Linked DNA regions of Alligator mississippiensis. The protein of the gene in region 2 purifies or fractionates together with the protein of the main gene of each other region. This does not show direct contact. Links are inferred from orthologs where the notes say so. Each region holds a gene or a part of one and is shown on either strand. Other genes may lie near its edges. The genes, in order: LIG3 and POLB.

Evidence for each region.
Region 1: the proteins of POLB (region 2) and LIG3 purify together in Homo sapiens (affinity purification with mass spectrometry; 3 studies listed by BioGRID and IntAct, counting the BioPlex papers as one, with this or other methods). This does not show direct contact. The link is inferred for Alligator mississippiensis from reciprocal best matches to the Homo sapiens genes POLB and LIG3.

Annotation. Positions count from the first base shown.
Region 1 is NC_081837.1:26,293,450-26,301,492, reverse strand, and holds the start of LIG3 (DNA ligase 3), read right to left. Parts: upstream 3,124-8,043; 5' UTR 3,064-3,123; coding exon 2,571-3,063; intron 2,201-2,570; coding exon 2,057-2,200; intron 28-2,056; coding exon 1-27. UniProt on the Homo sapiens protein: Isoform 3 functions as a heterodimer with DNA-repair protein XRCC1 in the nucleus and can correct defective DNA strand-break repair and sister chromatid exchange following treatment with ionizing radiation and alkylating agents.
Region 2 is NC_081830.1:17,181,871-17,189,861, reverse strand, and holds the start of POLB (DNA polymerase beta), read right to left. Parts: upstream 3,251-7,991; 5' UTR 3,186-3,250; coding exon 3,125-3,185; intron 3,048-3,124; coding exon 2,990-3,047; intron 2,907-2,989; coding exon 2,840-2,906; intron 2,575-2,839; coding exon 2,500-2,574; intron 1,777-2,499; coding exon 1,718-1,776; intron 1,410-1,717; coding exon 1,360-1,409; intron 520-1,359; coding exon 468-519; intron 132-467; coding exon 77-131; intron 1-76.

The DNA.
Region 1 (8,043 bases), on a different chromosome or scaffold from region 2:
GGGTGTCCCCAGAACTGCCTGGTTTAGCTGCAAGAGAAAGACATACTATTTAAATTTTTAAGATGTAGGCTGGAATGATATGATTCACACTTTGAAGAGACGGGCACCATTGTCCACGCAAGTGGAAAGCAAGAACAATACTAACAAACTGGCAAAGCTTCAAATATGAATGAAATGCACAGCAATATTTGAGAATTTATGATCAAAATCTGAATCAGCATTTAAAACAAAATTTATGCTACTTTAATAAGTCTTTTCCCTTCAGAGCACAGAAGAATTTTCTGGAGCTTAAATCTACCTACTTCAATGGTTTAAATCTTGATGCGAAGAAACTGTGGCGAGTGATGATTTTATTTTACTTTCTGGACTTGCAGCAGATTTCCCCAATATCTGCAACCATGAAGGCAATCTTCAGTGGGTGGAAAAGGCTTGACAAAGGCACAGGTTTTCTTATAACTGTCCACTTAACCATTATTTGTTTTTTTTTCCAATCAACTTCCAAAGATACCTGCTCTCACCAGGAAGATGGAACCTGTCTTGTCAACCTTATGCAGGATCTGGACATCTTATGTACAGTAGGATCAAGTCATCCAAAGATGGGATGACTTGATGAGACGATTTAATTTTAGACTGCATGTGGATAAAATATATTCTATTACAATTATATAAAAACAGCTTATCTGACTGGTGGGCATCCTTTTACACAAGTACTGAAGACAGAGGGTTCAATATACAATCAGTGACTTTGTCAGGGGAGTCAGCTCTAACTGAGCTTTCGTAGGACCAGCGTCTGAGTCTCCAAAGACATTTTTACGTGCATTCCTGGATGGGTGCTTTGATTAGCAAGCTGCGCTAATTAAAAGAGCCCACGCATCCTGCGTATCAGCATTGCCACACTGAAAAAACGGCAACAGGGCACTTTGAACTAAAGCTCATCAGATGGGGCTTATTTGAAAGCACACCACTGGCATTTTGTCAGTGCGGAGATGCATGACGACACTGATACACATGACGTGTGAGGCTGCTGGAGCACATCAATTTGCATGCTCCAGCAGACTTGATTACATGCTGGATTTCCAGCACACCAGAGCAGGCTCTGTACATGTGTATAGGAGCCCCAAGATGCTACCCTGCCCTGCCTTCTGCAAATCTGTAATTCAGTGAGCTAAATCAGCTGCATCACAGTTTCTTATGAAGCTCAAGAACTAACTTGGCAAATGATCAATTTATCGGAGAGGCTTGTTTCTTGTAAAAGAATACCCCATTTGAGTTGGATTCTCGAGTAGCTGTCAGAAGCAGTTTTTCCAATGCAAAAAAAAAAAGTACATTTAGAAATAAAGGGTTATCTTAGTTTTAACAAGCAAAGAAAGGCTGTGTAACAGCCTACATTTTACAAACTTCAATATATTCAGGTATCTGGTTATACAGTACAGTCACACCAGGAGGACAATAGTTGCAGTTTTGGAAGGTGGTGGCTTTAGTTTAACAAACTGAAGTGCTAAAATATATTAGAAAAGCTCAGGTGTTTTATCTGCTTTATTTCTGCCTCTCTTTTAGCATAAAAGGGCACATCATTTCAAAACCTAGCGGCCCTTCAAAGGGGTAACGTAATCAACACAAGTCACAAAAAACAGCTTGCCAGTTCCATATTAGCTTTCCAGATACCTTCACTATTCATACCCCACAGAGAGAGGGGAAACTCCTGTCCTGCTCCTGTTAACGACAATGAGAGATTTTCCACTGAGGCTAAAAGGAGCAGGTTTCTGCTGATTTCAGATGAGACAGTCAAACATTTTTTGTAGTCCCCTTACACTTTCTGAGTAGAATATTTGGTTGGTTTTATCCCTGTTCACACAACCAGAATAATGCAAACACCTGACAGCTGAGAAAATACTTAACATTTTCCTCAAACTAAATATGAAATGTAGTTTGTACTAAACAATCTTCTAGTTTCTAGATGAAAGCTACTGGTGTGAGACTCAGCTTGAAACGCCAGAAATATGAATGCTATGTGAGAAATAAAAGCTTCTCCCAGCATCTATATACCAACTCCGACCTGTGAAACCAGAGAATTTCTTTGGAGATGGATTAGGAACAGCTCCTGGATCTTTCTTGGGGGAGGTTATCTGCCCACTGGGGGACAGCTTAGCCTGGACTGTTGCCTTCTTCTTAGGTGTGCTTGCAGACTTGGATGTGGCCTCTGTAAGAGATGAAGTGTTGAGATCCACAATCAGTGACAGCCCCACAGTATTCAATAAGACTTAACAAGTCACAATGCTTGACAATAAGCAGCTTGTTTCTGAGCTACAAAACATCCCGCCCTTTAGGAAGGCGTTTCTACAGAGAAATAAGCACAAAGTTATGGGGATTGGCCAAGGGTCGCACAGCACGACACAGCAGAGCTGGGACCAGAAACCAGCAGTGGCTCCCAGTGCCCTAACGAGGGGCAGATGACAGGTCACCTTGCGCATGCGTGCGAGTGCCCCTGCCTCTTCTCCCTTGCTGTAACTTTGTTTTCTGTCCCTGCCTCAAGATGCAGGGGGCGGGGGAAGGGGCACAGGGGCTCTCACCCGAGATAAGCTGGTTGATGAGGTCTTTCTCGGCATCTTGCAGCTCCTCCCACCCCTCGAGGTCTGTGATGTCCTCTATCTTCTTGGTGGTGGCACGAGCCCGCTCCAGCTTCTCGAATATGCACTTCACGTGGTACCACTCCTTCATGTCGCCGCCCGACTCGGTGAAGGGGTTGGGCACAACCTTCCCAATGCGGACCATGCCCTTCAGGATCTTCTCCTTGCACTTCTTGCAACCGGCCGTGCCGCGCTTGGCGTAGTCCACGCAGTACCGCTGCTCCGCCATGGCCTCGGGCGCCGAGCACAGCCAAGCGCGCGGGGCGGGCCGGCCGGCGCGCGGGGGGCTGCTCGTTGGCAGGCCCGGGCGCCAGGGACGCGGGCGGGCCCAGGGGCGGCTCGGCAGCAAGACGCGGCCCTGGGGGAGGCGAGGTCCCGCCGCGCGGCGCAGCGCCCCAGCGACCTGCACGAAAAGCCGCCGGAGAGCCGCGGGCATGTGCGGCCGGGCCCGGCTCTACGAGCGACGGGGCCTCACAGGCCGCACTCGGCCCCGCCCCGGGCTGGCGTCGTCACCGCCCCCGCGACCCGTTTAAATCCGGGACTCGAGATCGCGGGCCACCGCGCATGCGCACGCGGGCCCGAGGAGCTGGGGCAGCCGGGATTGGCGGTTCTCCATGCCCCGCCCCGCCCCGCCCCCTCCCCTGACGCGGCACGGAGGCGACAGATCCCGCCCTCGCCTCAAGCACGATCCCCTTCCTGCAAAGCGCGTCACCCCGCCGGTTGCGACTCCTGGGGCTCAAGAGCACGGGGCACCGCGCCTGCGCACGCGGGCCCGAGGAGCTGGGGCTGCCGGGATTGGCGGTTCACCACGCCCCGCCCCTCCCCTGACGCGCCCCGGAGGGCCCTCGCCTCAAGGCCCGCCCCCAGCGCGGGCGGCCCCCCCCCGCCCGTTGTGACGCCCGCGGCGAGGGCAGGCCCCGTCCGGCCACGTGGCCCGAAGCCTCCGTCTGGTGCGACTGACCCGCTCGTCTCAGCGGGTGCCCGGTGCAGTCGGCGCCAGGGGCTCGGCCTGAGGACATTGTGTTGTGGCTCCGTATTTTCTTTCCGTACATTAAAGCAGACTGAAGCATTTGCCACATTTCTGAAGTATTTATGAGGATGATACACAGGAGAAACAAGCTGCCTGTCCCCGGAATAGCCTCGAGTGTTAGACTTCGGACAGAAATTATAGTCTTGATGCAGGATTTCGTTCAGAGCAATGATGTTCGAACGAATTCAGTTTTCTTGGTACTGAGAAAATGTCCCAAATCACCCTGCGTTCAAATGAAGTGAGACCTTTAATAGCTGCCATACCGTAAACAAGTGTTTCTTCTCTGTAGCTGCTGAAGAAGATACTGAGCAGGGGCAAGACAAAACAAAAGAGATAAGAGAAATGGAGAGGATTACAGAATGATTTGGAGAAAAGTAGAATAATGCTGCTTAGGTAATGCATGGTGATGCTCAGTATTGCTCATCTATTTGCACATGCAGGGAAACTATTTGTCAATACAGTTTTAGAATGGAAAGTCTATTGCAGCCTTAATCATCAAGGCATGGGACAAGAGATGTGTATAAATTCAGTCTGAAAGAGATTCACCATTGTTCAAGGTGAACAATGGTTTCCAAGTGTCCTCCCGCTCTGATAGTAGAAATGGTTTGTGTTTGAATGGCCCCTGATCTGTTTTCATGATCAGGCCTGCATAGGTGGAATTTGCCACCAGCAGAGGGGGCCTAACTCAAGGCTGCCACTTCAGTCTCATTTAAAGTCTCGCTTAAATGCAGTATAAGTAGCTCATAGATCCTCTACCTGGCAGTGAATATTATCCAGTAAGAACTCATAGGCAAGGGTTGCTTTGACTTGGTTCATATCCATTAACATGGATTGATCAGAAACAAAAGTAAGGGTAGGTCTTGGCTAACATCCAGCAAAAGAGCTCTTATCCTAAAGGACTGAATTTGCTGCGAGAGTTGTAGTCATTACTGGGCTGTAATAACCCCACTGATGTGGTCTGCTACGGGGAGATCTGCAGGCCCAGAGCTGGAGAGTTGCCATCCTAATAAAAAAATCTCCCTAGCACATGCTTCATATTATTTGGATCTTTGTCTCTCCTTTCAAGGCTGAATGAGTCCCTTCTCTTTGTACCTTCCCTAGAGCATGTGTGACTTCATATGGGGATAAGGAAAAGCCTGTGTGTGTGAGCCATGACTTGTATGGCTCCCAAAGGCTACAGAATAAGTATTAATCCATCCTCAGCATTGATCACGTAACTACATTTCTTGAAAGCATTTATGACCTAGGGACTACAATTCCCTCTCAGGGCCAGTTCCACTTATTCCACTTATGGGGATAAGATGCTAAAAATATAATATAAACTGAGTCTAATTAGAAGCTAGTGATAGAAAAGCCTGTTGGGTCAGACTGTGAGATCCACTGGAGAACAGCTGCTCATAAGAATAATCCTGCCGAAGTCAGTAAAGGTGTTCATATCAGCAACTGTAACCTACTAGAGTAAAGGGGCAACCAGTCTAATCCTTTGTGATTCAGTGGTAAAGCTTGGGCGAATGATCCAAGCTCTAGTCTCAGGTCTGTCACTGATTTACTCGGTGACCTTTGACAAGTCACCTGTTAATTTCAAAGCAAGTTAGACATTCAGGAACATCTGAAAATCCTACTTAGTGCCTGCTTCTGAATCCCCTGATGCCTAGGATGAGAGGAGTGAGTACACATCATGACGCTCCTCTGCAAAATGGGATATTGAGTGACAGAGGCTTCTCCATGAAGAAGTGAAGAAATGGATAGAAGTTGGGCTTGGACCTTGCCCTGGGTCTGAGTATACTCAGACTCAGGGGGGCTTGGAGCAGAATCTGAAATTCATGGCTCAACTCTACAACTGGGCAAGTTTATTGGAAACAGGCAGTTGATAATGCAGATGGGGGAAGGAGAGAAGTGGGGAGGCTGCATTAGTGGATTAAAGAGACTGGCTGTCTAGGACCAGCTTACTGTCCATGAAGCTATGAAAAGCAGGGGGGGAGTGTTCCTTGTCCTGGGAATCCCATTCCCTGCCATATGCCACTCATGGAGAGTGTACACAGGATATGGCAGCCTGTTCCTACCAGCCAGCATCAGTACAGGTGTTCTGCATACATACCTGTGAATCAGTGGCCACCACAACACCATCTGGTTCCAAATTAGCAAAGGGCCTGATAAAGAGCTCAAGGCCAGTTGTCCCTCCAGCTGGGGAACGCGTAGCTTCCTAGTAGCATTCTAAGGCCAGAGAGAATTCTTAGAAAGCAAAGGTAGAGACAGACAACAAATTCCCCTTCCTGGTCCTAAACACTGTGCTCCATTGTTTCCAAGGTCTACTTCTGCACTTTAACATGGAACTCTTATTAGCCTCTTCTACTAACAATATCACAACTATAGTGGGATTCTTTCCCAGCTGACCCTTTTGCCATCTTCTCAATATTTCTTCCTTCCTTAAAAGACCACTGAAACCAGACAACCTCTGTGACTCCACCCTTCCTTAACATTTGACTCCTTTGATGGCCGAAAAACTCCTCAGTTAGAATTGTTTCAAGTCTTTTTTCAAAAGCACACTGACCAATAAATGACTCCTGAGGCAGGTATCCATCATGGGAAATTTCAGCTGAAATAACTAAAATGTTGCAAAACTATATGCAATTGAAAGCAAGGTCTTATAACTCAAAGTGTTAGGTATCTATAATAATGCTATCAGTCTGCCCTACAGTAATGTCATCTTTCCCATCACACCCCTCTGTCTTGTCAGTTCAGAATTAGACTACCCCTTCTTTGTAATGAAGTGCTTCCTCTTCTCTCATGTATTCTTTGAAGGATTCCTTTCTCATAGCTGAGCTTGCAGTTTTGCAAAGAGAAGGCAGCTAATTTATGCGTGCACATTTTTAAAGCTATTTTAAATCCACAGAGTGTAATTTAACAACAGCTATATAAATACTTGTGGGATTTGCCTGTAATAAATACTCATGATAGAAGCAGTGTGTGTGTTGAAATAACTTTATTTAAAACTAAAGTAAAAAGAGTCTCCATCCTTATCATCAAGCATTATTAACCAAGGCACCTGCTTTTTCTGGAAAACCCCAGACTGGCTGCAGGCTCTCTCTAAGACAAGGTCATTAAGGCCATTCTGAGCAGATGTTAACTGGGGCTTGGAGCACCTCAGCTGCTGCAGATTAAACCCAGTTAACTTGCCTTGCCCTGCTATAAAAAATCACAGGTACCACAGTTGCTGCTTTACTGTCCGGGGGGGGGGGAGGGGAAGAGAGGCTTATGTTCTTGTTCTTCTTAGCAGCAAAGCTCTCTGCAGACTTTCCTTCTTTAAAAAATGGAAAAAGTATAGGAGAAATTACTTTAAATGTGAGTGCTGAAGAACCAGGGACTTCTGAGTAGAGAATTCCCTTTAGAGTAGATCTAATGGGCTTATCTAAATCAGGATATCTTTTTTTCTTTCTTTCTTTCTCAGGCATCCTTAGAGGGATTATTAAAGCAGCTAAGAAGTCTGAAATGTAAATCTCCCACTCAAAAGCAGCCTTGCTTTTCAGAACTCAAGCTGGGGAGAGAGGAGACCTATATAGTTTATCTTCTGTCTCTCACTTCCTGAACCTGAATATTAAATTACATTTTAAGATAGTCACTAATGGCTTCGCTCCTAACCTTAACCTATTCACTAAATTGAATGAATCCAGAAGTGTTTCTTAAAAACTTTTTTAAAAACCTACATGCTAACTGTCCTGCCCTCTTTGTCCCAAACTGTCTCTGAGATGAGATGAATACTGCTTCCTGACAATTCTAGCTACAAACATTCTCCTGCTTAAGAATTCAGTTGGCTGATAGCCTAGAATAAATCGGCTCCAAGGGTAAAAACTTCTGGGAATTGGAGAGGAGGAACTTCATTATGGAGTGCTGTGAAGAGAGTTGCTACCATAGGTGGCCTTTTATGAATGGCTAATCCAACCCCTGGAAGCTGTAACTTGTGTGTATTGGATGCAAAGTAGGCATAGCTTGGAAATCTTACTTATCTTGAATTTTGAATAGTCTCTAGCTCATGTAAAATGCATTTATAGATGAGTAATAATTTTAGGATCCAGTATCATAGTGCTGCTGCAGCCTTTGATTCCTTCAACTCTGTGTCCAGAAGAGTCACTGGGTCAAATCAAATCTAATCTTAACAGGGAACTCTTTGGACCAGGCCTCACTCTTCCATAGAAACAAAATGTGTGTCTACCTGCCTTTTCAAAGAGGAAAAAATGTACACCAGGGCTTAGTAATGTATCCTCTAAGAACAAGGAAATGGTAATGCAAAGAATGAACGTAATCTGGGTTGATGCCACCCTAAACACTGCAGTGTTTTTTAAATGACAAGCTGTGAATTTCTGGCTTTCAGTTTACTTTAATGTCAAA
Region 2 (7,991 bases):
AAAAACAGGATTAAGTCATCTGAATGGCCCTCTTTGGCTATTTTTTGCACTGCTTCTTTGGGGAAGGATGTTTTACCTGCATTTGTAACATTTCTTCTCTGGGGATTCTTTTCTCAAAGTCCTCAAAATACCTGCATGTACAAAGGATAAGTGTTTTGTATAGCAGGAAGCTATTAGAATGGTAGCTATGCACGATCTATTTTTAAATCTTGCCTTCCTATTGTTCAAGTTGCCCCCCCGCAACGGTATAGACAGTGGCAGACTAATGACTGCAGGATTCCCTCGGCTGGTCTCATGCTCCTTAGAAGTTGCCCTTGCTATCCTTTGCATACAACACAAATTAAAGCTGGGAAGAGGCAGGAACTGGGGATTTTTGTGGTAGATAGCCACTGCTGCTTAAAAGAAGAAACTGGCCTTGGGATGTGTATATGGAAGGCAAGCAACTATGTCCAAGAAATGATGCTTACTTTAGCCCAATTCGCTGATGATGGTTCAGCTTGTGTTCATTTTTCCTTAGATCTAGAAGAAGCCGGACACAAAGATCACTTGCAAAGGAAAGTACTTGAGGAAACAGAAAGCTGCATGGTAAGGGAGGTTCATTTAGAGATTGTTTAAAGAATAGCAGCTTTAGAGAGCGACGTAAAGGATAAGATTCTGCATTGTGTTAACAAGCCATGGCAGCCCCCTCACCCCCAGCAGCAGTACATGGAGGGAAGCACGAAGCTAGCTTCAGAGACAGTTCTCTCCTGGCTCAGAGCTCCTTCGCTCTTATGTGCCCTGAAATACCCCTCTTCCCTGCAAGGGCATGGATTGGGGACACAGCTCTACTCCTCAAAACAACACATCCTGGCAAGTACAAAGCTGCTAAATGTCAGCAGCTTAAGCCATCAGCCTTAAGTAAGGCACTTCCTAAGGCACCCTGACCCATCTTTGCATTACCACACCCTGCGCTGCACTTGCTGAAGCAAAAGGGGTGCTCAAGTCACCTGTCTGCCTGACTGGTCTCAGACTTACCTGGTTCCTGAAGCAGGTTGGTTGGTACATGCACTGCCCTGGCCTCTCAAACAAGATTTCAGGCCTGGGTGCATTGCTTGGAAAACTTCACAGAATTGTTGGGGCTGGAAGGGACCTCTTGGACCACCTAGCGTGACCCCCTGCACGAATGTATTATCTCCCCCTTGATACTACATATGCAGAGCGCATCTTCTATGTACCGACTTAAGCATCCGAATGTCTCTCTCTAGCCACGCTGTTGCTATCACTTATCACTCTGCAGAGGGCAGGTTGTTCACATCATAAATTGCAGGTCTTTCCAAAGTATCTACCACGCAATCAGGGAGATGCGTAGTACAGACTCACCTTCTAGTGTCTTAATTCCTTCATCCACAAACTTCCTGGCAGCCGCAGGACTGAAGAGAGAGAGGACAGCAAAGCACACACAGCATATGCGAGACTGATGCAGCATGCCTGAGCTTGCTGTTTGCCTCTGTGTCCGCCCAAGCCAGTATCGAAACCACCCCTCAGTCAGATTTTGGCACATAATGCCTGTCTGCAATGCTGTGCTTCCAAAAGCAGGTGGCTCTCTAGGAGTTAACATTTTACCTATGCTAGCTAAGAAACTCATGGGAAAAGGATATCCTGGATATGAACCATTTCATATGGGTAGGTCAGTTCCATAAAACATACAGAAAGAAGTACACAAGGAAAAAATCCTTACCCAATGCCACTAACTCGGGTCAGGAAATTGATAGAAGAGCTTGTGTCATCTTGTCGGATCTACAGACAGATATTTCTCATTCACTTGCAAGGCCATGGTAAGCCAAGGTACCTCAGCAAGTTACTGCACTCAAGGTTTGTTACAGTTCAGAGCAAAAAGACAACATTACCTACAAGCGTGCTGCAGTTCACTCAGATCTACATGGAAGGGACCTCAACACAGTGTTCAGAGGGGAGAGCCCTTATGTCAGAATATACTTCCTTCTTGGGCTTGACAATGAATTTATCAAAAATTGGGGGACTGTGTAAAGCCTTAGCTAGAGATGGAAAATCTGACAACAGTTTTAGTTTGGTACAGGGGAAGAAGGGCAATAGGTTGTTAATTTTTGCTGTGCCCTGTACTGGCAAAATACTTAGCCTTATAATATTTTATTATTTGGCAAACTCTCAGGCTTCATAATGTGCATTACTACATACATGGATAGATGGAATTAGGTTTTAAGTGCACTGGAAGATTTGGGACAGCCCAAGTCTGGAACAAAGCAGTTGCCTGGTTCATTTCATCTCAGGACTAGGGTGACAAAGGTATCGCAGGAAGCGTCTACGTCAGACAAATGCCTCACGCATTTGGTGGCAGTAAAAGCTGATCACACCCCATGGTGGTCCCAGGGACGCTAGGTTCTCTCTGCCTGCTCTTTTTACCCATTCCCTTCCTAGTCTCGTTCTCTCCAGGGGCGGAGGAGAGAAAATAAGCGTCAGACAGAATAAACCAAAAGGGCTGACCTTTTCCAGCTTGCGTAGCTTTCCAGTGGCTAAAAACTCATCTATCTTCTCCGCTATTTTGGCCCCGACTCCTTCCTGCAAAGCAAGGGGCAGGGGGAAGGAAAGAAGGCCTGTTTTGATTTTAGTGGTGGCGGGCGACAGAAGGGTCCGGCAGGCGTCAAAGCCTCCCAGCGGTGCCAGGCAGCGGGAGTTGCGATATGACCATCAGCCGCTGCAGCGCGCCTGGAGCGAAGAGGCACCAAAGAGCGCAGCACAGGCGAGGGGCACGCGCAGGTATGGGTCTTTGTGCAGCGCGCGAGCACGGCAGGTGGGGCGGCCGCCCCAGGGCGCAGACACCTACCAGTTTCTTGGCCTCGGCGCCACTGCGGATCTTGCTGGGGTACTTGGCGATGGCGGAGGCCGCCTTCCTGCAGGGAAGCAGATTGCTGGGGAGCGGCCCGGCCCCCGCAGCCCACCCCACCCCGGTCCAGCCCGGCCCGGCCGCACTCACCGGTACGCGTTGTACTTGTGCACGGCGCGGCTCACGTTGCGCTCGTAGTTGGCCAGCTCTGCGGGACCGAGCGGCACCGTCACGGCGCCGCCCGGCCCCGCGCCCTCCCACCCGACCCTGCCCCGCCCCGCGCACCGGTGAGGAAGTCGGTGATGCCCTCGTTGGGCCCCTCCCGCGGCGCCTTGCGCTTGCTCATGGCCCCGGCCGCAGCCCGGTCCGCGCGGAGCGCCCGGCGCGCACCTGCGCACTCCGCCGAGCCTCCTGCCTCGCTCTACGCATGCGCGGCGGCAGGCGCATGCTCAGTAGAACCCGCGCCGGGGAGCAGTGCGAATGCGCCCCATCCTTGAGGGACATGCGCAGCATGTGGGCAAACGGCGCTCCAACCGCCGTGTGCCGGGGCCGTTTGCTTGTAAAAACTGAGGTGTCTCTTTGTTTCAAAAGAAAAAGACATGAGAAAGGTGCGGTTCTAGGGGAGCTTGTCGTCCTTGCTGCAGAGCAGTTGGGGGGTGGGGGTGAAGGGGCAGTGCCGCACTTCCCCTGAGGAGCGATGCAGGGACGTGTGTGGCGAGGATGTGTGCGCACAGGTGTCTGCGGGTACGTGTGGCATCCTTTATTCGACCGCCTGAGTGCTTTTTGGGCGGGTGGGGGGACGTGCCTTGCAAGCTTTTGTGGGGGCAGCCGCAGATGCGCAGGAAGAGCGCCCCAAAACTCGCACGGAAGAGTTTCGCCAACTCCCGGGGCTGGTCTAATCTAATGAAGCGTATCGGGTTGACCCGAGAGCCGGGATGCCAAGCGCGCGTTTCGATTGGCTGCCAGGAGGCGCGTGACGATTGGCGGGGAGGGCTGCGTGGGCGTGGTCAGGGCCATGCCGCTAGTCCTCGCTGTGACTTGCCGGGGGGGGGGGGTCCAGGAGACAGTCCCGCTGCTCCGCAGTCTGATTGGCTGTTGGGATCCTCTTGTGTGGCGATTGGTCCGACTCCGATGCCCAGCAGCCCCATTCGGCTGGCAGGGTGCGGGCCAGGGACGGGAGAGCGGGTCCTTTGCTCGAATCTGCCTATCCGGTGCCTTGCTACCCACATTTGAACGGAATTTCCCTTTTTTACAAGGAAAGCCTCCCCCGCTGTTCGGGAAGCACTGCAAGACGTCACTTCAGTTCGGTTCTAGGGGAGAGCTGGGGGTCCTTGTTGTAAAATAGGAAACTGTTCAGAGTAGAGGTTGATGTGACAGTGTTATTCTTTGTATACAGGCCTCGACGAATTTGAAACTGCGCAGGTATGCATCTAATAACGGGGTGTGCGTAGAACACACTACCTGCCAGAATAAACAGTGGTCCAACTGCAGTCTCGTTCTCTCTCTAAAATAACAGCGCTTTAGGTATTCAAATATCACTACAGTTGGGTCTCAATCTATAATGTTACGTCGACTGCGTGCCGTCTCCGTTAGTAAGTATTAGGGCTGTACGAGTCGGCAGTGATCCGATCCGGCTGCTTCAGATGGCCGTGATCCAATCTGGAGTGCTGGACTGGGTTTCCGCCTCGATCCAGCCAAAGCGGCTCTGAAATTTTGGAGCTGCCTCGGAGATCCGGCCATAGGGTATAATGAGGAATCAGTGAAATATCTATAACTTTGTTGTTTCTTGTCCAATCTGGATGAAACTTGCAGGGATGGTAGCCTCTGATGAGAGCGTGAAACCTGCCAAGTTTCAAGAATATCGGTGCAGCGGTTTGAGGGGAACTGTACCCCAAATTCTTGAAAGCCAAACTCATGTCGCGACTGTATGTCACACCACAGGGGGGTGAAAACTGCAGGGCTGGTAGCTCTTACTGAGGCCACAAAGCCGGCCAAGTTTCAAGGAGATTGGTGCAGGGGTTTGGGGGGAAGTGCACCTCAAGCTGCCGACAAGCAAAACTCGTGCCACGGGTGACACTGCGTGTATTAAGGCACAGCGGGGTGACAGTTCCCCCCCAAACCCCTGCACCGTTCTTGAAACTTGGCAAGCTTTGTGGCCTCAGTAAGAGCTACCACCCCTGCAGTTTTCACCCCGCTATGTTGTAACGCCTACATGTGACATGAGTTTTGTTTTCAAGAATTTGGGGTGCTGTTACTGCCAAACCCCTACACTGATCTTGAAACTCGGCAGGCTTCATCCTCTCTGCGGAGTCTACCACCCAGGAAAATCTCATCCAAATCGGACAAAACCCAACAAAATTATATTTTATTGTTTCCCCATTATACCCTACGGCCAGATCTCCGAGGCGGCTCTGAAGCTCTTCGGTAGTTCCAAACCGCTTTGGGAAGCCTAAGGAGGCCAGCGCTTCGACCTGGATGTGCTGATTCCGACCCCGAAGCATCCGAAGTTTTCTGGATCCGAAGCTCTGTCCAAATCCTCGCACAGCCCTAGTAAGTAAGAAGCCTCACTGCGATAGATGAAATTGTTCGGAGAGGGAGTTGGGTGAGAGAACCGAGTTCACTGATGTGTTTGTGTAGGTGAGGCGCTGCCTGCCAGCTAGGCTTGCATGCAGCGTTACCCTTCAGGCTGTTACGGTACTGAACATAATAGCAGGGCATAGCCCTGCAAATGTATGTCAAATGCATTAGCTGAGGAGCCGTACTATAACCGGCAGGAGCAACGCCAAATTGCTCAAGATTCACTGCCATGTATGCTTCCAGCTTAGTGACAAATGGTAGGTGCAATCTTGAAAGCAGTGAAGAATCAAAAGCCACTTTGTGCATTTGTTGATGCACCTGGTGGTACAGGAAAAACATTCTGCTTCTACACGATTGTTTCAGCAGTGCACTGGGAAGGGAAGATTGCATCGGCTGTGGCATCCAGTGGAATTGCTGCTACCGTGCTTACGGGAGGCAGGACTGTGCACCGAAGGTTCAGGGTACCCCTGAACGTGTTGAAAACCAGCACCTGCAGCATATCAGCCCAGTCTGACTTTGCTGAGCTGATTCGAGAAGCACCTATCATCATCTGTGATGAAGCACCAATGGCTCATCGGTACATGCTGGAGACTAGATCGGATGCTGTGAGATTTACTGCAGACCAATTTACCTTTTAGTGGCAAGGTGATATAGTGTTTGGGGATGATATTCAGCAAATCCTGCCTGTTGTGAAAAATGCCTCAAGGCTACAAATAGTAGAGGCATGCTTCAAGTGATCTGAGTTGTGGAGCCACTTCCAGGTTTTCCAACTTGGTGAGAACATGCAACTATGTAAGGAAGGTTTTGATGCACGAAGTGCAAAATACGCTCAGCAAAGATAGAATGGACATTTCCAAATCTATTGGATAACTATCAAAATCCAGGATGGACATCTGAAAGAGCTATTTTGGCACCGCATTATTCCATTGTACAGGAGATCATCAGTGCTACTGGGGCAAAATTTCCAGGCCAAGAATGGATTTGTATAAGCGCAGGTGCTCTTTCAGAGGATGAACGTGTTATGGCTGTGCCAACTGAGTACCTGAATTCCATGGAGGTGTCAGGTTTGCCTCCACATCAGCTCCACCTTAAGCCTGGGATGCTCATCATGCTTCTGCGAAACCTTGCCCCTAAGGTCTGTGCAGTGGAACGTGGCTGTTGGTGCAATCCATCATCAACAGCAGACTACATGAGGCAAAAATTGTTGGATCAGAAAGAACAGTACTAATTCCTCGGGTAGCACTGAAGCTGTCTGACGACACCTTTCCATTCATGTGGACACGTCTACAGTTCCCTGTGCAGGTGGCATTCAGCATGACCATCAATAAAGCCTTAGGGCAAACATTAAAAAGAGTAGGAGTGTTCCTTCTGGATCTTGTCTTCACTCATGGACAACTATATGTGGCTGCTTCCAGAATCTCCCACCCAGAAATCATTCGATTTGAAGTGACTGCTGACTCGAGTAACAAACCAGGAATGTTGTGTGTACAGAAGTGTTGTAAATCTCTTACAGTAAGGAAGTGTCATATGTTTGAGGATTTTATGTATGCGGAAGTGTTGTGAAGCTGTTGAAGTGCAATAAAATATGATCTCAAGCAAAAATTGGCTCATTGGATTTTCATGCAAGCAACGCTGCACTGGGCATCTAGTATATATTAATATGTGCAGTTAATAGATATGCAAGTGGCACCTTATGCATACATGTAGTATTAAAAAACCCTCAGTGCTGCCCTCCAGTGCCTCACCCTGTGCATTGCAGCCAGGAGAGAAGGGCAGATAAGGGAAATAGCTCAGTGCTGCCTAGGCATGGTTCTCACCGGGCTTTGGGGCCTGGAGATCCTGGCAAAACCCGGCCAGTGCCACAATCCTGAGCTTTGCACTGGGCAGGGTAGCCAGGAAATGCTGCCAGAGAAATAAGAACCTGCCCAGTGCTGCCGTCCTGTGGCACAGACAGGACCTTGGGGCCAGGAGACGAGGGCGGAGAGAGAGAGAGAAAGTGGCTCAGAGCCATGGAGCTGGGACCGGACAGGGATCGCGCTGCTCAGGGCAGACACACGATTCACGAACATGGATCGCAGCAGGGCCTGGATCGCAGTCTCGCGTTTCCATTGGTCAATTTGAGGCGTGAGGTGATTGGGTGGACTGGCCGCATGGGCGGGGTCAGGGCCATTCCACCCATCTTTGCTCTGATTGGCCTCTGCTGGAGGAGGTGGGCCAAGGTGCTCCTTTTCCTTGTTCACATTCTGATTGGCTGCCAGGGCATGGTGGGTGTGTGCCCTCTTCTGTGTGCTGATTGGTCCGACTCTGATCCTCAGCAGCCTTGTGCAGCTGTTTGTCTGTCTGCTGCTGGGTCCAGTGTACCTGGAACCCGCCTCCTGCTGCTGGCCCAGGCACCCGGGTGGTCCTGGAGAGCTGCGGCAGCTCTTCTGGTGCCGTGACGGGTCATATGGGACACTACGTTGCCCATGGTGCCTGGCAGGTGCTCTTGAGGTTGGTGTTAGCAACACAATCTGCGTTGGATTTCTCTTGGAGGGATGAGAAAAGAAGAACCTGTTGCTGTTCAGTAAATACTGCA